4 linked regions of the Drosophila melanogaster genome follow. Changing the gene in region 1 together with any one later gene gives a genetic interaction. Each region holds a gene or a part of one and is shown in the gene's direction. Other genes may lie near its edges. The genes, in order: nanos, l(3)mbt, bam and twin.

Evidence for each region.
Region 2: of nanos (region 1) and l(3)mbt, changing one suppresses a phenotype caused by changing the other (phenotypic suppression), as found in Drosophila melanogaster (2 studies listed by BioGRID).
Region 3: of nanos (region 1) and bam, changing one suppresses a phenotype caused by changing the other (phenotypic suppression), as found in Drosophila melanogaster (one study listed by BioGRID).
Region 4: of nanos (region 1) and twin, changing one enhances a phenotype caused by changing the other (phenotypic enhancement), as found in Drosophila melanogaster (one study listed by BioGRID).

Annotation. Positions count from the first base shown.
Region 1 is NT_033777.3:19,155,465-19,160,707, forward strand, and holds nanos (nanos), read left to right. Parts: upstream 1-1,773; 5' UTR 1,774-2,036; coding exon 2,037-2,508; intron 2,509-3,051; coding exon 3,052-3,521; intron 3,522-3,594; coding exon 3,595-3,858; 3' UTR 3,859-4,145; coding exon of another isoform or gene 4,146-4,241; 3' UTR 4,242-4,738; downstream 4,739-5,243. Other genes in the region: CG11779 (uncharacterized protein), read right to left, coding at 1-333, 401-938, 1,002-1,082, 4,146-4,241; Nsun5 (Nop2/Sun-like domain containing protein 5), read right to left, coding at 4,769-5,199. UniProt on the Drosophila melanogaster protein: Maternal RNA-binding protein that is required for germ cells proliferation and self-renewal. Acts by forming a complex with pum and brat that regulates translation and mRNA stability.
Region 2 is NT_033777.3:27,267,264-27,275,244, reverse strand, and holds the start of l(3)mbt (lethal (3) malignant brain tumor), read left to right. Parts: upstream 1-1,971; 5' UTR 1,972-2,234; intron 2,235-2,303; 5' UTR 2,304-2,404; intron 2,405-3,048; 5' UTR 3,049-3,471; coding exon 3,472-4,102; intron 4,103-4,871; coding exon 4,872-6,476; intron 6,477-6,544; coding exon 6,545-7,981. Other genes in the region: CG5934 (uncharacterized protein), read right to left, coding at 930-1,282, 1,360-1,414.
Region 3 is NT_033777.3:25,242,515-25,246,631, reverse strand, and holds bam (bag of marbles), read left to right. Parts: upstream 1-1,522; 5' UTR 1,523-1,655; coding exon 1,656-2,143; intron 2,144-2,207; coding exon 2,208-2,578; intron 2,579-2,639; coding exon 2,640-3,109; 3' UTR 3,110-3,593; downstream 3,594-4,117. Other genes in the region: RpS27 (ribosomal protein S27), read left to right, coding at 1-184, 251-279; CG11854 (uncharacterized protein), read right to left, coding at 3,618-3,922, 3,985-4,117. UniProt on the Drosophila melanogaster protein: Regulatory component of a deubiquitinase complex consisting of bam and otu. The complex deubiquitinates K63-linked polyubiquitinated proteins, antagonizing the ubiquitination activity of Traf6 and regulating the IMD immune signaling pathway.
Region 4 is NT_033777.3:24,217,859-24,222,836, reverse strand, and holds the start of twin (twin), read left to right. Parts: upstream 1-1,952; 5' UTR 1,953-1,989; coding exon 1,990-2,009; intron 2,010-2,273; coding exon 2,274-2,305; intron 2,306-2,493; coding exon 2,494-2,622; intron 2,623-2,685; coding exon 2,686-2,872; intron 2,873-3,061; coding exon 3,062-3,237; intron 3,238-4,118; exon of another isoform or gene 4,119-4,377; coding exon of another isoform or gene 4,378-4,978. Other genes in the region: cav (caravaggio), read right to left, coding at 1-301, 363-494, 912-929; CG17786 (uncharacterized protein), read left to right, coding at 4,378-4,978.

The DNA of each region.
Region 1 (5,243 bases):
ACCAATCCTTCAGAATCTCCAGATCCCCACGGACAATCGATTCCAGAATATTTGGAATGATGTCCGTTTCGCAATCGCGGAGGAAATCCTTCTGATCAAAGCTCGGATCGATTTTCACCAGCTCCGTCATCGTTTCCGAAAGCTCTGTCTTTGAAAAGAGTCCACCCATGACGTCGGACACTTTATCGGTCAGCAGGCGGGAGGCACGAATAACAGGGTTCTCGGACTCGTCGTATTTAACCTTCCAGTCAAGCACCTTGTTCACGTAGGTATTGTTGTTCTTGAAGTTCTCCCACGACTCGTAGAACTTGGAGTCCTTGTGCAGCTCCATACCTGAAAAGTAACATTACATTATGGCCATGACCTTTGATCTTATTGAAGGAAAAAGATGGAGACTCACCAGTGGCTTCCGTGTTGGGCTCCACAACGCGATCACTATCGCTCATGACGAGCTGGACGCGCTTTCGCAACTTGGCAGGAGCACGATAGACACGATTCTCTATGCTCGCGCTGTCCATCTCCTTCTTGATGGTCGTCGTCGTGTTAGAGATAGCCTGGAATGCGCTGGTCTGGCCCAGCTTGCCACTGGTGTCGGAGATCGTGTCGCTGACCCCCCTAGCCTTCTTCGAGAGCTCCTCGGTAACCTTTTTGGCCAGGTGGGATTTGCTGGCGTCCTCCAGAACATCGCCTACGCGCTCCTTGATGGCGCCCAGCTGCTCCTTTAGCATGCTAGACGACTTTTGCGCCTCCGATTCGACAATGTTAAACTTTTGCCGCGCCGATTTCAGGGCATCCGATTCTTCCAGCTTCTGGGCCTCCTCACGGAACTTTCGGATATTGTCCTTGATCTCCTTGTTCTTATCCATCTCCGCCTTCATGTTGTCGAAGAACTGCGAGAAGAAGCCGGCCCTGCGACCTGGCGCACTATAAAAGCGGGGCTGCGGAGTAAAGTCATGACTTAGGCCGGTTGCGCCATGGGGTTTTATGAGCCAAACTCTAACCTGCTGCTGCTGCAGGTTCTGCGAGGCCTGCTGGCACGTGAAGAGACAGGCGCGATCCCGCACAAGGGCAGCTATTCTGTACTGCAAGGAGAAAAAATCATTGAAAGCTTCGACCGTTTTAACCTCGAAATATGCACATGTAAGGACGGATGTGAGCGAACGCCAGTGATGACCGGGATCAGAGGTAACCTACCATGGTGGGGATTAGGTGACCGTTCGCAGGTAGTTTGATCGGAGCGAATGTTCGGGGGGTCTGGCGTCAGAGGCTCTAAACTTTATGTAATTCCTGCCGCGAAACACGCACGTATCAAGCAGTCAGCTGTTCTCTTCGTTCAGCGCGCGCCGGTGTTGCAAAACGAGCGCTCTTCGCCGGCGGTGGCTCGTGCGATAGTTCGTTTTGTCGGTAATCCGATGTTGCCGCGCCGATATCATGTGATGTTGTCACAGTGCGCGAAATTCGAATGGTGGTGTGCAGTGATTGTGTTGTGACGGCGAGTGGCGCGTGTGGGTGCTTAGTTTTGGGAGATGTTTTCGTATTTTTTTGTTGATAACTCAGGCTTTGTTGCTGTGTTGTAGTACTATTTTCCATTGCGCGGTGTCCAGCTTTTAATTAGTGGCACATATTCTTAGCAAGTAAAAATTATTTTGCATACTATTAAATTTCTTATAAATTATTTTCTAAAATTAAGTTTACCTTTTCAATTTTACTAAAAATATCGATATATTTATTATCGCTGGAAAACTACATTATTCCACCTCTAAGCAAGAACCGTTAGTTGGCGCGTAGCTTTACCACAAAATTCCTGGAATTGCCGTACGCTTCGCAGTTGTTTCAAGTTGTCTAAGGGACATACGATTTTTTTTGCCTCTGCGTCACGATTTTAACCCAAAAGCGAGTTTAGTTACATGTACATTATTATTAGATAAAGAAGTATCGCGAATACTTCAGTTGAATAAACTGTGCTTGGTTTTTGGGTGAGGATTTGTGGAAAGTAGAGTGCGCGATAACCGTAACTTTCGACCCGGATTTTCGCCATGTTCCGCAGCAACTTGGAGGGCAGTGGCGCAGCAGCAGTAGGTGTTGCAAATCCCCCCTCGTTGGCTCAGTCTGGAAAGATTTTCCAATTGCAGGATAACTTTTCTGCTTTTCACGCCAGAGGAGGGCTCAACATTCTGGGCCTGCAGGACATGTATTTGGATACCAGTGGGGCCAACTCGTCGGCCACTTTGAGTCCGCCCATTACGCCGGTGACCCCTGACCCGTCGACGTCTGCGCAGTCGACGCACTTCCCTTTTCTGGCCGACAGCGCAGCCACCGCCAATTCGCTCCTTATGCAGCGACAGTACCACTACCACTTGCTGCTCCAGCAGCAGCAGCAACTGGCCATGGCGCAGCACCAATTGGCGCTGGCTGCATCAGCGGCAGCGGCTAGTGCGAGTCACCAGCAAACGGACGAGATTGCGCGATCCTTGAAAATCTTTGCGCAGGTGACGACGGGCGCAGCAGGTAAGAAGAAATGGCGAATATGGCGTCGTTTAAAACAGAATAGCCAAAAACAGTGCGCGGGAGCGAGATGACTATCTGTACAAGTACAGTTATGCCAAAGTCAATGGCCATGGGCTTAGTTAAAGGGGCAACGAAAGCACAGAGCAAAACAGAAGTAAAATTGTGTAAATGTATAATTGCTGCAGAGGTCAGAGGATTTTCGCCATTTAGTGTAGTATATTTTTTATTTTACTATTTTGTATGTGCTTTAAAATATATCTTTGCCCAACACTTGTATCCCCTTCAAGAGGTTTTTCGAGCGCCCCTGAATTTTCGGCCATTGACCTTAGCATTTTCGCTATTCCTTTTTGTTTTAACTTCGGAAAGCCATTTTGCGTCTTACATTTTCTAGAAGTTCTTTGCTTTTTCTCGTCTGTTCTTGTTTTTTTTTTGTATGCAAAAACTAATCCGTATTTGCTTATTACATTTCTGAAATGCAATTGAAACGCGAATAATAAAAAAAATACGTTCAGGACAAGGTAATGAAAAGCTTGCTATTCCCAGAAAATGCGGCTGGCTCGATGCAGGATGTGATGCAGGAGTTCGCGACCAATGGCTATGCCAGCGATGATCTCGGTCGCATGTCCTACGGGAGTGCTCCGCCACAGGTGCAAATGCCACCGCAGCAGCAGCATCAGCAACAGCAGGGGCTGCACCTGCCACTGGGCCGCAATCCTGCCCAGCTGCAGACCAATGGCGGCAACTTAATGCCCATTCCACTCGCCACCCACTGGCTGAACAACTACCGGGAGCATCTGAACAACGTGTGGCGAAACATGTCGTATATACCAGCCGCTCCCAATACAATGGGTTTGCAGGCCCAAACAGCGGCCACTGTGTCCACCAATCTCGGCGTGGGAATGGGTCTGGGATTGCCCGTGCAGGGCGAACAGCTGCGCGGAGCTTCCAATTCCAGTAACAATAATAACAACAACAACAAGGTGTACAAGCGTTACAACAGCAAGGCCAAAGAGGTGAGTGGATCTGATCCAGGATTCGCAGAATTAAAACTTGCAAAATATATTTGTTATCTTGTTTCTCCAACAGATCAGCCGCCACTGCGTCTTTTGTGAGAATAACAACGAACCAGAGGCGGTTATCAATAGCCACTCAGTGCGAGATAACTTTAACCGAGTGCTGTGCCCCAAACTACGCACCTACGTGTGCCCCATCTGCGGGGCATCTGGGGACTCGGCGCACACGATTAAGTACTGCCCCAAGAAGCCGATCATCACCATGGAGGATGCGATCAAGGCGGAATCGTTCCGCCTAGCCAAGAGCAGTTACTACAAGCAACAGATGAAGGTTTAGAGAGGGCGAATCCAGCTCTGGAGCAGAGGCTCTGGCAGCTTTTGCAGCGTTTATATAACATGAAATATATATACGCATTCCGATCAAAGCTGGGTTAACCAGATAGATAGATAGTAACGTTTAAATAGCGCCTGGCGCGTTCGATTTTAAAGAGATTTAGAGCGTTATCCCGTGCCTATAGATCTTATAGTATAGACAACGAACGATCACTCAAATCCAAGTCAATAATTCAAGAATTTATGTCTGTTTCTGTGAAAGGGAAACTAATTTTGTTAAAGAAGACTTACAATATCGTAATACTTGTTCAATCGTCGTGGCCGATAGAAATATCTTACAATCCGAAAGTTGATGAATGGAATTGGTCTGCAACTGGTCGCCTTCATTTCGTAAAATGTTCGCTTGCGGCCGAAAAATTTCGATATATCTACAATTGATCTACAATCTTTACTAAATTTTGAAAAAGGAACACTTTGAATTTCGAACTGTCAATCGTATCATTAGAATTTAATCTAAATTTAAATCTTGCTAAAGGAAATAGCAAGGAACACTTTCGTCGTCGGCTACGCATTCATTGTAAAATTTTAAATTTTGACATTCCGCACTTTTTGATAGATAAGCGAAGAGTATTTTTATTACATGTATCGCAAGTATTCATTTCAACACACATATCTATATATATATATATATATATATATATATATATATATATATATGTTATATATTTATTCAATTTTGTTTACCATTGATCAATTTTTCACACATGAAACAACCGCCAGCATTATATAATTTTTTTATTTTTTTAAAAAATGTGTACACATATTCTGAAAATGAAAAATTCAATGGCTCGAGTGCCAAATAAAGAAATGGTTACAATTTAAGGAAACAAATGTCCTTCTTGCGTTTGAAACAACTAATCCTTTTCGCCCTCGCGGCGTTTCTCGAAAAGGGCCAGGAAGATGCCATCGGTAAGATCACTGTCCGGCTGGCAATACAGGACGTTCTTGCCAATATTGGGATAGTCCTTGTCGCCCACATTGTGCCACTTGTTGCGCAAGGCCTTCTTGCAGCTGAGCAGCTTGAAGGATGGATTTAGCTGAAGACAACGCTGCACCACCTGCTCGTTTTCCTCCTTCCACAGCGAACACGTGCAGTAGGCAATGCGTTTGACGTTCGGAAAGGCGCCCATCGCGTGCGACAGGATCTTAATTTGCAAACCCTGCAGCTTTTGCAGCCGCTTGTCCTCCTTCGGCTCGTCGCACACGGTCATGCGGTTTTGCATTCCGCTGCCAGAGCAACTAGGGTCCACCAGGATGTACTCTACGTCCGGAAAGCGTTCGGGTGCTGAAATTCAAACGTGTTACTTTTTTAAATATTCATTGTGAAAT
Region 2 (7,981 bases), 8.1 Mb from region 1:
CTCTGTCTGCACTTTGTTGTTGCTTTTATCCACAATTGCGAGCGGGAGGGGAAGATACAAAATAGAAACTGCAAATACAAAGGAAGGCCAACTAAATGTTTGCGTTCCATTAATGGCCACTAAAATTGGAATTTCCTACTCAAACAAACATTGTTAAAAGCAAAAACCACAGCGCAAATGTTTTGTTTTTCCCCACACACACACAGCTAGAGCACCAAGTCACACACACACACCTTGCAGTGTATTTCGCAATCACTTTTGTTGCACGTTCAACTGTTCTGGTGTAAGCACGATCACTTTTCTTGTTTTTCCTATAGTTTTGGACTGGTTTTAAAATGTTCCGAGCAGAGACTACGACTTATACACGCTTTCTACGTTATTCGAATACGAAAAGTCACTGCTCAATTTGTTGTTGCACGACCACGACGAACAGCTGGCCGACCAAAGTTGCCAGGCCGTTGTGTAGGTAGGCAGTTCAAAATTTTCAAATAAAATGTGAGCAGGTGTTTTTCTAATAATTGCTAAGATTTATACAAATAAATACATTTTATTATTTAATTAAAAATGTCACTCTGTTGTAAGTTTTGCAATTCGATCATGGCTATTTAGTAAAGCGACCTCTAAAAGCAGCTGGATTGGCAGTGCTGCCATCCCGTTTTCCTTTTCAAATTCTTAAATTGCGTGGGGTATTATTGATTTATTAATTATCTATATAAATTAATTACTTCTATGTATAAAATACATAGCGCGCCATAAGCTTAAGCCTAAACAAATACAAATTCGACAATCGGGCAACTGAAATAACATTGCAATAGCTTAATTTCGAGTGTTACAGATTAAAATATACATGTAGCTCTAGCGTGAACGAGAAGGCATATTTGAGAAGGTTTTTGGTTTCCAGTACCGGTGGGTCGATTGACTATAGAAGATTACTTCTTTTTGGCCGCACTGGGACTGGTGGACTGGAACACCGATGAGGCCGACATCAGGTTCTCGATGTACTGGCCGAGCACCTGGTTCTCGGAGCGCAGCTTCAGATTTTCCTCCTTGACGGAATCGACGCGTTGCGACAGGTCGTCCAGGGTGTTCTGCAGCTCCAGGACCTGTGTGATGAGGCGGGCCTTCTCCTCCCGATCGTCCTGGGCCATTTCCATGGCCTCCAGCGAATTGTGCGATGAATCTGGCGTGGAACTGCGGTTGGTGAACGATGAACGCAACGAGTCCATGGACCTCCCACTGGGCATTCGTCCCGTCGCCGGTGGCTCGTCGTCCGGAATGACCACTGCGTTTTTGGGGGGGATTAGCAATTGATAACATCATCACTCGGGACTCCACCCACTCCCTCCAGTTTTCACTTACCCTGTGGATCCTCGTCCATGTTGGGAATGCTGTCGTCATTGTTTAACAGGGACATGGCTGGCAGTGTTCAGGGGTACTCTTTATTCTATAAAACTTAAACTCTATTCACTTTTGCCAAATTTCTCTTAACAATTGACACGAAAATAAAACTACCCTTTGGGAAGTTGGCCAACACTAGCTGCTGGCGCTGCCGTTGTTTAGTATGAGCGGCGTTTTCCAGTACTAACAGAAGTTTAAGGAGAAGAAGAAGAAGCTGTATTTTGTAATCTTTGAAGCAATTAAATATTGATAAAGTTGCTAAGTTAATGTGCGGTTTTAAATATATACAACTATTCAGAGGACAAACTCTTTTCGTTAAAATTGTTCCGAGAAGGTAAAAAGCTCTGTTGGATATTGCGAAATTTTCCTCTGCACTTATTTTACAATATCAGGTACATGTAAAGCCATCGCTTGATATTAATTTAAGCATTTAAGGCTGCTAAGTAGCGTATTTCCAAAACAGTTAACACCAAACAAGAAAGGCTTCGTTTATTTACCATTTTATTTCCGCCTTTTCAAAATAACCGACATCGGGCGCACACGAATCGGCAACCAGAGTTGCCACCTGAGCCGTTCGATCATAGAAATTAAAATACACACATGCTTTTGCAGTTTTTAATATTGTTGAACGACAGAACGCTTCCGTTTCGATGGCACTGCGTAATGTTTCGAGCTGCTTTAGTTGGCTTACCTGGTGAAAAATGTGCTTAAATTGTTAAGATTTTCCGCCCGATTTCGCTGGCCATTCGTTTTTGCCTGCATTTACGAGGTCGAACGAGCAGTAACACCCTCGCAGCAACAAACTGCAGTTCAATCGAATCATACGGTTAAAGCAGGTAAGCCTACATATCCTGGCCCACCTTTCGACACTCGCGACCTGACTTTCTGAACTTCTATCATTCCAGCCGTGTTCGGCAAGCCAACAGCATCCCGATATCCTGGTTTCCGCCTCCTCCGCGGCTGTACATTTCATTTCGCTCCGCGGGCAAAAACGAATCGCGTGCGGGTAAGTCAACAGTTGGATCCTGGCAGCGGAACCTGTAGACTCTCTGAAAGTGAAAAATGAAGACGCATTCCATGGGCCCTAGACCAAATTCCCTGGCCAGTGGTTCATCCGAACCAAGATAAGAGGTTTCAGTTATTGTGACATTGGGTGGGCTGCTACGTAACATGGGGCTGGGAGATCGGATCGGTTTAGCCATCAAGGGCTCGTAAATGTGGTCGTGAGATGGGATTCAAAGCCCAGAGGAGCTATTTTTAGGTTCTAGTCGTTTTTGAGATAACATAAATCTTTGGGCAGCATAACTAAAAATGGTATCAAAATTCAATATACGTGCAGTGTGGCCGTACTGGGGCAACGAGGTTTTGCCCAATGGCCGCGGGTAAATTGTAAAAACAAAAAAAAAAAAAAAGCAAGCGCAATAAACAGAAATATTAAGGTAGGATAACACAGGTATTGTAACTAATGACTTTAAGCTGCTAGATATTTCCCTTTTTATTGGGACAGATGGCGATTGGCTATTAACAGCGAATATGCATACAAGTTGCAAAGCAACTGCTACCTGCTAGCTATTTTCTGATTACCATGCTTTTGCAGCTTTAAAATCCTTATATAGCATCCAAAACTAAATCCAACTTAACCTTTTTCAGGTAATAACAAACCCAAAGTAACCGTAAATATTTAAAACTAATTCGCAATCTGTGCATTTAAATACCAAATGTTGGTATATTATCAGAACCGAGAAACACGAACAATGAGAGCAAGGAAACGCGCGAAACAATAACTTTAATTCAAAAACTTAACAATTTCTGCGATTTTGATTAAGAGAAAAGTGATTGATGAATATACGGATATAAAGCACAAATCGCGCGATCGAGAACATAACAAATTGCCAAATAGTTTTGTGAAAAGGGGGAATACAAAAAAATACTAACGCCGGTGTGGAGTGTAAAATGCCAAAAACTTTTGTGCGCCTCAACGTACAAACATTGTAAAGACAAGAATATAACTTCGATTTCCGCTGGTTAAAAAAGAAATCAAAAATCCATAGCTCTAAGCATAAACGGCTCAAAATGCTGCCATTGTCGATGGCCAGTGCGGAGGCCAAGCAGCTCCAGCGCAATATATCATTGTCCATGTCGCCAGCGAATGGAGGAGTCATCTCACCATCTACCGCGAATTGCAATGGTGTTGCCTCTGCCTCCGGCGGAAATCCAAATCCCAACAGCCTCCTCACACTAGCTCCGCGCAAGGAGGAGCTACGCTTCCTGCCCCTGGCGCCCATGGGCGGCAACAAGACCTGCAACATCACCATCAGCAATGTCCAGCCAATGAAATCCAAACTAAAGTCGGTCAACATAGTGCCAAATTCCATAAAGTCCGCTGGAGCTGGCGCCACTGTCGGATCAGCAGATGCTCCCCTGTTCCAGCTGGTGCCATCGCCCAGTAATCCCAGCCAACCGTTGGTGGCCATTCTGGCCCCCAATCGCAAGACCACGCTGCTTGGCGGAGGTGCATCCAATGGCCAACCGGTGGTCATACGCTCCGGAACACCTTTGCACAAGAACAGCCTGACCGTTGAGACCAGCAACAAGCCCATCCAGCCAGGAGGATCGGCTGCAGCAGCCGCCGTTGGAGGCGGAACTGGAGGAGCACCTTTAACGCTCGTGGGCAAAACGGTCGTTCCACCGAAAATACAAGCGGGTAAGTGTAGGGTTTCGGTTTCCCCTTCTTCCGAGTTATGTAAGTTATGAGTTACAAGTGGGTTTCCCCAGTCTGAGAGGAAGAGGAAGAACAGATCCCCCAGATCCGAGGCCAGTCGGAAAATGGGAAACACTCTTGCAAAAGTGTGCGTGTGTGTGTGTGTGTGCGCGAGTGTGTGTGTGAGTGTGCGTGTGGGGTGCGGGGCAATCTTTATAGTTTACTTTCGTTGTTCACATCAGTCTGCGGGTTTAGTTTTTAGTTGTTGTTCGACGGCTGCACATTTCATAACACCAATTTAATAGGGTTTGTGTTCGTGTGCCATTTTCGGAAAATAAGTTCCAAGCATCGAATTGGGTGGGTGCCATGTTCCATGACTGGGTCGGTACGAATTGGAGAAGCAACACGAAGAACTTATTGCTATTTCCAATATATATGATGTATATATGCTGGTTTTATCAATAGCAGTATGCAAAAGGCGGGGTGCCAGCGAGAACAACAACAACAACAACAGCACCAGCAAAGCGACACTGATGATGACGATCAGGTTTTTGCAGCTGCAATAAGAGGAGAAGATTTTGGATCAGCACTGTCAGAGCGCAGTCGATCGGTGCGGTGAGGGTGCGGCGGTGCGGGGATCGGGTTCGGGTTCGGGTTCAATGGAGGATCCAATCGGATTGCCTTCGGGTGACTAATTAAAGAAAATTCAAAGCTAATTCGTGTTTCTCTATCTTTCTTTATTTCTGCTCTCCATTTGGATGCAACCGTACAGCGACACCTGTCCAGATTCCCAGCACGGGTCCGGGTGCGCAGGTATCCCTGCTGGCCAATCCCCTCAAGCCACGTGCTCCACTCATACTCAGCAAGGTGGCGGTGGATAAGCTGCGTCTAAAGTTCAGCCAGGTCAAGAGCAACCCAAATGCACTCGTTCTCGGCAAGGCCAATCATGTGAAGAAACTTCTGACATCGCCGAACCCCAGTGGAGAGGATAAGACCAGGAGCACCCAGAAAAACAACAAACAGAATACTAGTGCCAGCCAACTGAAGCCAGTTGTGGCACCCAAAACGGCTATGCCCATTGCCACGGAGGTGCCGACCGCCGATAACAACAAAATGAGCCTAATTAAGTCCAAGCCCGTGGCCATCAAGGCAGTGCCGCTGCCCAGCCAGGAAGCGCCCATTGTGCCGGCAGTGGCGCCAGTTGTTACATCTCCAGAGAAGGTCGACGTTAAGCCCACTGCAAAGCCCTCAATCAAGACAGCACCCAAACCAACTCCTAAACCTCTGGAGATGTCCGTAAATGGACCAGCCAAGGAGAAAAAGGCGCCTGCCAAGGAGCAGAAACAGAAGACAATGGACAAACCACCGGTGGTCAAGGAAATCGCTCAACATACGCCATGTGGGCCCAAGGAATTGCCCAAACTAAAGCGGTCGAAATCCTTCGTGTCCAACCATCCCGCTTCGCCTGTGGCCAACAACGAGCGACGTCACTCGGTGGCCATTATGGCCAAGGAGGTGGATGTGATCGAGCAGCCCAGTGCGGCAATCGAGACCATCACCATTGAAGACGATGATGAGAGCGAGGAAGAGCAGCAGAAGCCGGAAATTAAGAAGACGCCGAAGCAGAATCAGAAGCCGGAAAAGCAGGAGGCGCCGAAGAAGAAGCAGATCCCCATGCCCATTCTGCCCGCAGGAATAACCATTTCCACCACCAGTACGGCCAAGAAAAAGGCCGTGAGAAAGAACTCCTCCGTGACGACAATCTCTTCTAGTTCCAGCGACAGTTCGTCCTACAGCGATGTGGAGGTGGTACCGACCAAGAAAACCGAGAAGGAACTCAGTATGCTGCCTGGCATAAGCATCATCAAGGCGGAATCTCTGCCACTGAGCAGGGAGGACTTTGAACGCTCGTTGCGTTGCGATGAGCAGGTGCCCCAAACTCCGCCCAAGTCATCCTCCTCATCCTCGAGCGGCTCTCACGCATCGGAAATGTCGCCGCCGCCCAAACTCGCCGATCCGAAGCCATCAAGTCCACCTGCAAAGAATGCCAAGAAAGCCAACGACCATGATGCGAACCCATCTCCTAGCAGCAAGACCAATGACTTTAAAAAGAGCATGATGCAGAACCTGAACATGTTGAAATGGCGCGGCCAGCAGCCGGCCAACCTGCAGAACTCCACCGTCCGGTTCGAGCTGAATGAGTTCAATTTTCTGCAGATAAACGAACGCTGCCAGCCACGCCAGGGTCCAGCTGCATATTTCGAGCGGCCTTTGTATGATCGTCCGGGCCGCAGGCCCTCGGCCTGCGTCCATCCGCTGCTGTACTTGTGCCAGCGTTGCAATTTCCACGGACCCGCCGCCGACTTTCTGGCACCACGTGAGTAAAGAGAGCAGCTACCAAAGTCCCCAAACTCTATATATATTATATATTATTTTCTCCTACAGATTTCTGCTCCGTTGGCTGTGTGCGTCGATCCCAGAAGCGTCGTCTGCCGCAGAGTACGCAGAAGGAGAGCAAGATAAGCCGTACCCAACTAGAGCAAACAGCTGGAACAGCGCCAGATTTGCCACAAAAGCGGCAAACCAACTACAAACCACACAAATCTCTGTCTGCCATACAGGAACAGCTGCAGCAACGTCAAAAGGATAAGCCCAGAAAGCCATTCCGCTGGAGCGAGTACCTCAAGTCAAAGGGAAAGGATGTGGCAGCGCCCATCCACCTGTTCCTCAATCCGTTCCCCATCAGTCCCAACTGCTTCGAGATCGGCATGAAGCTAGAGGCCATCGATCCGGAGAACTGCTCGCTCTTCTGTGTCTGCAGCATTGTCGAGGTGCGCGGCTATCGGCTGAAGCTTAGCTTCGATGGCTACTCCTCCATGTACGACTTCTGGGTGAACGCCGACTCGCAGGACATCTTTCCGCCAGGCTGGTGCGATGAGACAGCACGCGTTCTGCAGGCGCCTAAGGACTACAACTCGGAGCGCTTCAGTTGGAGCCGCTATTTGGTGAAAACGGGCGGCAAGGCAGCTCCGCGGGCGCTCTTTGGTCATCTGAATATGCAGCAGCAGATGGATGTGCGCAACGGCTTCGCTGTGGGCATGCATCTCGAGGCGGAGGACCTGAACGATACGGGAAAGATTTGTGTGGCCACAGTGACGGATATTCTGGACGAGCGCATTCGAGTCCACTTCGACGGCTGGGATGACTGCTACGACCTGTGGGTACACATCACCTCACCGTACATCCATCCCTGCGGTTGGCACGAGGGACGCCAGCAGTTGATCGTTCCGCCGGACTACCAGAAGTCTGCCTTCATTTGGGATGACTACATATCAGAGGTTGGTGGAATGGCCGCCTCCAAGGAGCTGTTCACACCACGCCAGCCAATGGAGTACCAGGAACGCATGAAACTGGAGGTGGTGGACCAGCGTAATCCCTGCCTAATTCGTCCGGCCACCGTGGTGACGCGGAAGGGTTACCGGGTTCAGCTGCACCTGGACTGCTGGCCCACGGAGTACTACTTCTGGCTGGAGGACGACAGTCCCGATCTGCACCCCATCGGCTGGTGCGAGGCCACCTCGCACGAACTGGAAACCCCGCCTGGCTATCTTCAGCCCAAGTCCGTGATGCCTTGCGATGTGGAGGGATGTCGGGGATTTGGCAACGCCAAGCGCTTCAACCTCAACGTGCATGCTTTGCGGGAATGCTGTCCGTATGCGCCGGAAAATTGGCGTCAGTGGCGCTCCAAAACGGTGAAACCGCCGCGTGTGGCCCCCGAGAATATCAGACGTGGATGGGCGAAGAAAACAAAGCGTGCCTGTTCGGAGGCCAAGCAAGCCATTAAGGAGGACTCCCAACAAGAGATTGTCTACCCGAAGGTCG
Region 3 (4,117 bases), 6.1 Mb from region 1:
GAGAAGCGCAAGCACAAGCTGAAGCGCCTGGTCCAGCACCCCAACTCGTACTTCATGGACGTGAAGTGCCCCGGCTGCTACAGGATCACCACCGTCTTCAGCCACGCCCAAGGCGTCGTGGTCTGCGCTGGATGCGCTACCATTTTGTGCCAGCCGACTGGAGGACGCGCCAAGCTGACAGAAGGTATGCTCCAAATGCTCACTGTCCAATGTTCCTTCGCAATTAACCCAAACGATGTCTTTCTTTCAGGCTGCTCCTTCCGCAGGAAGCCACAGTAAAATGGGACTCGCGATGAACCACAAATTATTAATTTTTTAATAAAAACTCTAAAACGTAAAGAAACCACAGAACCCATACGAGAGAAAGCTTGTAATTCAATTGCTGCGGTCCTTTGGTTCATTGTGCTTTGTGAATTAAAGAATTAACGATGTTGTGGTCGGCTAAGTGAAAAAAAAAACAGTTCTTGTCGTATTTGTTTATAGAAAGTGGATAATTGCCAACAGGATAGATAGTGGAGCTCAATCGCTGGGGTTCCCCGATAAGAAACCGCCCATAATGGAAGCTCTTGTGTGTGCAAATACCCTTGTGCGGCAAAACTTCAGGAATTTTTCACTAGTTATGCTTAGATCTAACCATTGATTAACTTCACAACAATAAAGAATGTTTCATAGGCTCTAAATCGAGATTTTGTGAGGCTTCTAATGATTGGGCATTCAGCATTTTTTCAAGAATTTTGTAACCGACTCAAAAAATCTTTAGAATGGTTGGTTATTCGGATCGCATATACTTAGCTTGTTTGTCTTATTTTTATTTGGATGAGCGCCAAAATTTTGCTGCGTCAGTCTGGAAAAAATTGAATCAAATGTGTATAGTTTTATAGAAGTTGGGAAGCGGAATTTATTTATTTATTTAAATATTTATAATTAAAAAAATGAAAATAGTCACGTTGTTTAACTAGTCAGTATTCGAACCAACAAATGTAAAATGTATACTGGTTTGTGTCTAAGCTAAGCTTGTCATATTAACGGAGCTGCCAGATGTTAGGAAGTGGGGATGCCATACATTATTCTAAATTTGCGCGCAATTTTAGAAGCTTATCGTCGTCAGAATTACAAAAACAAATTGAATATGAAAATGGGTTATTGCTACTTCATTATTATTGTCACGATATATGATAATTTATACAAAATGTGATAAATCCCAAATTGTTAAATAATGCTTTGGCTTGCTTTATACAAAACCACTAGATAATTAAAATATAGGTGGCCTAAATTGTTGCATGTTGTTTTATAATTAATCAGCAATTTGATTTGGTTGTGATCGACCAAATCAGTGTGTATAATTGTAGTTAAAATGTAAAGTTCGTAATGGATTATTGAATCGCATTTCAAATTTCTTTAAATGCGCCCGGGTCAATGACCTTTTGAGGTGACCATAAATTGAAACTTATTTGTGCGACGGCAACCCTGTTCTGGGACTCGACATGATATCGATACGTTAACAACAAAGAGTCTGGACGCCATCATTCTTCCTCTTTCTCCTGAATTCGCAGACAGCGTGGCGTCAGGCATTTCAAACGGTAAAAAGAACCTGGCGATAAGGAAAGATTTAAAAGGCAAAAATCGAGTGATTTGTGTGATTTAACTTAAGAATAATGCTTAATGCACGTGACGTGTGTCCTGAGGGCAACGACGACCAGCAGTTGGACCACAATTTTAAGCAGATGGAGGAGCATTTGGCCTTAATGGTGGAAGGCAATGAAAACGAAGATCCGAGGAAAGCCACTTGTGAGTACGAGGATACGAACGAAGATGGTGCAACCTGCACATCGGGCGTTTTATCCGAAATCCAGGAGAACTTCGGTAGACTCCGGTTGTGTGACGTTACTGCACCACTCCTCGAATTCCACGGTTTGGATTGCTTGCAACAGATTCAAAAGCGCTCGCGCCATTTTGCATTCGACGGTTCTCCGGCCAAGAAGTCGCGATCCGGAGGCGTGTTGGTCACCGGGCCAAAGCAGAAGCAACTGCAGAAGGAAAATGTGTGGAACCGGAAGAGTAAAGGCTCTGCGTCCGCGGATAATATTGAGAAACTGCCCATAACTATTGAGAAACTGCATATGATTGGTCTGCACGGCGATTGGTGAGTCTTCTGGAGTATATCCCAAATATATCACATAATAAAAAGCTCCTTATCTAAACAATAGCTTAGAGCACAACGCCGTGCTGCGTTTGATGAATCTGTTCAGATCCCTGCATGATCACCTGACCGCCGATTTGGGCTTCTCGCGCCAAAACTCAATGCCCTCGGACTATCTGTTCGATATGCCGGTGAAGAGCACGATGCCTAAGAGCTTGAATGTGCGCTACCAACTGCAGGTGCTGTGCACCAAAGTAGAGCGCTTCCTTGTCCAGCAGCGCCGCACCTTGGAGGCGAATCGCCACTTCGATTTCGAGAAATACGACGAGTGTGACAAGTTGCTTAAGGGTTTCGCATCCTATTTGGACAACTTCAAACTGCTTTTAAAGCCCAAAATGCGCAATCGAAACGGAAACTCGGGGAGCAATGCGGACAAGTGTAAGCTGTAGATTTGCAAGCAACCATTCAGCTATTCCTGCAACGATTTTATTATTTACAGTCCATACTCAGCGCATGGAGAGATTGCTAATTGGTCTGCGCGATTGGATCAAGGCTGCGCATCTCAGTGTGCACGTATTTAACTGGGAAATGGATCTGGAGCACCGCTACTCCGGGGCCATGACCGAAAGCCACAAGTCGTTGAACGAGCGGGCCATCCTTTTGTCCGGTGCCGAGCTAAGGGCGGCCGAAGCGCGTGGAATCAGTGCGGAGGATCTGTTCATCGCCCAGAGATACAAACTGGGAGGTCCGATCTATTGCGTTCTGGAGCAGCATGAGTTCCTCTCCGCTCTGATCGCCAATCCAGAGACCTATTTCCCGCCCAGTGTTGTCGCCATTTGCGGGCCACAGAAGCTTGGCGCAGTGAGCATGGAGCAGCCGTCAGCGTCGGAGGAGGAGTTTGAGGAGACCGAGGAAGTGCCATCATCGCCACCTCGTCACACCGGACGTGTACCTCGCTTCAGAAGCTAAACTAATGCTGTGCACATCGATAAAAGAATGACAGCAAATATGCAATTTAAAAAAGCTACTCTTCTCATGGGAAGCAATAATTTCGTAAAGTAAACATATCTATAGTGTAAGATATATTTGTCCAATAGTGCGGACTCCATATTTGTATTCGTGAATAAGCTTATATAAGCTTTTTAAAAATATTTATCAAATCGATACAAACAAAATCAAAATGAAAACGATTTATTACCCCTGTTTTGAGATTGATAACAAATTTATATAAGTTTAACTGTGTTTACATTTATTTGGCAAAACTACAAATGTGTTTGCTTTTCACTTTTATAAATCTGTATTTTACTTAAACTTTAGAAATAAGAAATCCTTTAGTGCCTGAATTTATTTTGCAACTACGTTTTATTTGTATGAGGAACTTACCAGTTTTTCTTATTTGCTTTGCATTTGTATTTTGAAAGTCAAATAAATATTTACGATTTGTGTTTGGACTAATTAGGGTGTTTGTACTAAGGTCTTAGACTACAAAGAGCTGTTCGAGCGGCAGTTTGCCAAAGATCCTGTCCACCACCGACTTGGCTATCAGTCCGAAGGCCTCGCCAATGCCCGGTTTCAGTTCATTGAAGATGTCCTTCCAGTTCTCATTGATAAGCGCGTGCATGTTCTCGCTGAGATCTTTCTGGCCGTTGAACAGATTTTCCAGCTGGTAGGTCACATGGGATGGATCCAGCTCAACCTTTATGTTCATCACCTCGGCGTAGGTTTGATGATCGCCCTTGGAGACGCGCTTCAATTTGATCTGTGCACGTACCTTTGTTCTAGCTGCGAATTCCAGAAACACATTAAAAATTTTAGATTTCAAAGCTGTGGGAGGCAAATCTTACTGAGGCGTATGTCAGCAATGCCATTTCCGGTGATGGGCAGAATGAGTATTCTTCCGTCCACCGAGTAGGGTCCTCTGACTCCTATTTCTGGAACTTCCATGACCAGCTCGATGGAGCGGCTGAGATCCCTTGT
Region 4 (4,978 bases), 5.1 Mb from region 1:
TTTGCCATCTATCCAATCGGCTGATGTTCTGCTTCTTAGTCTCGGCTGCAACTATTTCTCTTCGCTGGGCCACAAACTCCTCCGGATACGGTTGGACCATCTTTCTGCGCACCGCTTTCATATACATTCGGTTGATGAATCTCTCAGACTTGTTCACAAAACGTCCTTTTGCTTCAAACCTCTTTTTGGCTTCCCACAGACAATTCCAAGCGGTCATATCAACCTTCACTTTGGTGCGTAGACAAAGCTCCTTTACCTCGTCCTCGGTGTATGGGCGTGCCAAGTCCTCCTCGGTTATTCTCTTCAAATACAGGATACTATACAATATACAATTTCAATTTACAAAATGAAATGCGTCTTACCGTTTTTTCGTGCATCCATAGAATCAATTTGTTGTTAGGATCGCTTTCTTTGAATTGCGCACGAATTTTTTTGTCCTCGTCGGCTAGATACTTTCTCAGGAAGGCAGACATTTGCGTCCCCGACATATTAACCTTTTTTTAAAAACACGCAACATTAAATTAAATAAATTACAACTTTTTAAGGGCATTCGCGGCTAATGGATCTATCGAAACTCTGTAAGGTTATCGATTAGTCAGTATTTACAGATTTTAATGGTTTAGCTCGATTCTAGCTAAGTATTTTCGTTTGCTGTCAAAATAAACTCATTTTATTTTACAAATTAATAATTCAAAGCTCCTGATTTCAATCCTATAAAAAATATCAATTCAAAAAACAGGGGTCTTAACTGTCATACAAAATATAGCTACTTTCTCAATACGCTAGTTGGAGCCCCTGCTTGCAAATTCTTTCCGATAGCCGATTAACAGCAAGTGGGCATTTCCGCGTACGCCAAACCAGCGCACAAAAGAGAAATGGAAAACGAAGGAAAGCGAAGAACGAAAGTTTACACATAGTAGCAGCAGCATAAATTCACAAATAAATCGTCCATCCAGAGATCTAAACTACATAAAATATATCGCGTCGAAAGCCGAGTCCTCAGCAAAAAGCATTGACCGAAAAAAGTGGCTAGTAAAGCAAACAGTACGAAATATCTACGTGTTTTTATTTTCAGCCCTGCACCTCTTTGACCATCTGTGTGCGTGTGCGTCTTGTGTGTATGTGTGCGTCTTGTGTGTGATGTGCTCTTGTTTTGTTTTGACTGAAATCCCATTTGAGTAGTTCTTTTTACAAACAAACGTTGTCTCACACTTTATCAGAACACTAGGCCGGACTTCAGTTGGACGAATAAGCACGCATTTTGGACAAATCTTGCCGTGATACCGTCCGCTGATAAAACCGAGTGGCAACTCCGACTGCTCACCATGTATACAAAAACAAGAACCGACGATGAAAGCGAGTCGCGTGATAAATAAATGAAAAGCAGAGGCCCAGCAGAAGAAAGAGCGATCCAAAACGAATAGGTTGATTAGCAGAATCGTCGCTTCTGTTCCGACAAACACGAACGAAAAGCAGCAAAATAATAAAATAACAAATATAGGACCCAAATAAAGGCACCAAAAACGGTAGAAGTCGGTTAAATTTCACAGTGAATATCGAATATTGCTGAATCCCCAGCTGCGGCTTCCTTTTTCTTTCAAAATCCTCGAGTAAGTGCAGGCGGAGAGCGAAAAGAGCGCGCGAAACGAGGAGAGACGGCGAGTAAATTTGAGCCAGAATTTCCGATTGAGGTGACTTCCTAGGAATAGTGAACTGAGCCAGGTAATCCTACACAGGTTCCTGATACCCACGATTTTCAATATGCGACATACGGCTTTCCTTCTTCTTCTTGTTTTGCCCGCCCACGCCATTCTTCTTTCTAACTGTATAGTGTTTCTGTGTGTGCTACGCGTCCGTGTGTGTGCGTGTGTGTTGGTGCTTGCACTTTGCGCGCGCTTACCAAAATCATTTTCGTTTGCATTTATTTATGATTTACAATTTACCATCCGCAGCTGTGCGAAAGCCAATAGCAGTTCTTTAAAGCCTAATATGTGTATCTTTAAAAAAAGGTGCATAGACAACGTTCCAAAATACATATCCAATGCTATTTATTAATAAAATATAAAGATTTTTCCTAAAATCCTCCAACTATTGAGTTTGGCGGTATTTTCCATATCGACCTTTTACCTTGTACTTAAATTTTAATTAATAATGTTTAAGAACTGCTATTAGTTTTACCTTAGCTGTATATGTAAACCAAACCCGGACCTCAGACCCACCTTTGTTTACTAATACAAAATAATAATGGAAACCACTTTATTAATATTTTGCAGAGACGCTTATCATCAGGCGGTTATTATGAAAGGTTATGATTTGATTCCAATACTCCTAGATACATTTAAGCTAAAACTCAAAGCATTCATTTTTGTTGCTAAGCGAGGTTTTGTCTCCTAACATGAGCCCTAACTTCCTTGAAACAATTCCAGATTTTAACTTGTTATCTCTTACCTTATACATATATTAATATAACTCTCTTCTATATATACCGAACAGGCAATCATTATAAAATGTCTCGTAACAAAGACAAATACGACAGCGCCAATCGGCGGCAGCAGATCTTTCTGTCGCAGGAGGACATAGCTGCGGGCAAGAAGACGAACTGGAGTGGCCTAGAGATTACTGGTGGGTATCACACACTTAATCCCGAAAAATATCATATTAATTCTACCATACATCTGTTTACAGGCTGCGTCCGCAATATCAGCCCGTCGCTGTGGGAATTTGAGCATCTAACCGCCCTCTACCTGAACGACAACCAGCTGCTGCGATTGCCCGCAGACGTTGGCATGCTGACCAGCCTCCGAACTTTGGACCTGTCCAGCAATAAGCTAAGAAGTCTTCCCGCAGAGCTCGGCGAGCTCATCCAGTTGCGGTGAGTTTGTGGGTTGGCATAGGACATGATTTACGTTGTTAAATCGTATTTTAGTCCTATTATTATGTCTCATACTCTATTGCACCCTTAGCAGTTGATCTATTGTGAAATCGCTGTCTGGGCGCAGACCCTATTGATCACTGATCCATGCTTTTCACTAAGCCACTCCATTGTCTTGCCTCCTTTTAGGGAGCTGTTGCTGAACAACAACTTTCTGCGCGTACTGCCTTACGAGATCGGCAAGCTGTTCCACCTCGTCATACTCGGCCTCATGGGCAATCCGCTGCAAAAGGAGTTCATGAACATCTACAACGAACCGAACGGCACGCAGAAACTGCTCACCTACATGCTGGACAACTTGTCATGTGAGTCCCCCCCATGTCTATCTAAATCCCTGAGTATGTGTGTGCGCGCGCCCGGTGCGTGAGCAGCTCCTGACCAGGTGTGTGTCTGGCTGCGTGTGTGCATGTTTGGGGTAAAAAGGAAAGCACGCGAAAAAAGGCTTCCGAAAAGAGAAAGTTTTCGAAGAAACTACGGACTCAAGGGTATTTTAACTATCTTACTGGGCTTGATGGGATTTTATTGATAAAAAAAAGGAAGCTTAAAGTAGGAGATAATCTTTCCATGTGTTATCAGCAAAAATTCTTTATGTAACTGCTCAAAATATATATTTATTAGGAAGTTTAGGGCATGTTGGAAAATTTTGTTTTTGGGGATCAAAAACGATTTCGATGTATTTATATATAGTAGGGTTGTAACAGCAGAAATATATATTTATTCGTCCATTTTCAAACGCAGTTTGTTAGCTAATGTTTTTCCGCACCAGGATAGGTCATAAAACCTGTTGCCAAAGCCATAATTAAAGTTCAAACTCACGGCTGCCCATTAATGCCAAAAAACATAATGCCCGCGCATCAATTAAAAATGTCTAATTGAATGCAACAATTACAACAATTGGCGGACTTGGCCAAAAGAACTGCACGACCTCGACATGCAAAAGCCAAGAGATGCTGCTCTCCGATGCAAGTTGGCCCAAAAAAGAGAGCCGGTGGCTGAGCGTCAGAGTGTTCGTGTGGACCCAATGTGGAACGTAAGAGACAGAGAGAGAAAGAGAAAGAGAGAGAGAGAGACTTGTCTTAACGGCTTTTACTGTTAGCCGGGCTTCGCTGTCGATCGCGTTAGCAGCTGACTTCAGTCTGCCGCTCGCTTGGCTACGAGGCGGACGCACTAGCTCCACTCTGCTCCTCAGTCTCTCTTCAGCTGGAAACCCGTTCGCGAGCGTCGCGCATGCGCCGTGTGTTTCGTAATTGCGATCGCGTTGTGTCCCAGTTTCTTGGCGTTCGCTTTTCATTTCGTTGCGGTGGAATCGCTCGACTGTTGGCCAACCGAAATGCCTCTCTGAAAGGTGGCTCGCTCAAGTCGAATAATCTAACCAAGCGGCCAAGTGATGTGCAATCGACTCGATCCGCCGACAGGATTCAGTTTGGGACTAAGACAAAAACAGTATGAGATCGCATGTGGCCGTTTACAGGGCGCCAGAATCAGCAGCACCACCACCACCGCCGCCCAACTACGCGTCCTTGCGATACCACCAGCATCCGTTGAGCCATTGGCCGGGTAGCCAGCATCCAGCTCCTGTGTACAGGTTGCATCATGGTCCGCCGTCTGCACCACCGCCCAATTGGGCAGCTCAGTCGGCTGGCCAACCACCTCAACCAGTTGGCTATGGAGTGGTTAATCAGCAGCGGATCAATGAGTGCGCCGGCATACCGCTCATCTCGAATGCCTCCAGTCACTTGTCGCCAGCCCAGCGACAGAGATTGCTGAGGAAATCCGCCCTTAAAACATGTCCAACTTGGCCACCTGGAGGGGCCACTATGTCCCAGCTGGCTGTGCATGCCCAGGGCATGCCGCTGCTCCAGCAGAATGGCAAGCACCATCTCCAGCAACAGCAGATGCAGCACCACCAGCCACTACATCACCATCATCCTGTGACCAACAACTGGAGTGGCTACCAGCCGATGAGCAGTCAGCCTGCTTTCAAGTTGGCTGACAAATCTCGAGCCCTTCGCTATCAGAATTCGGCACCACCGGTGCTCAGTAGCC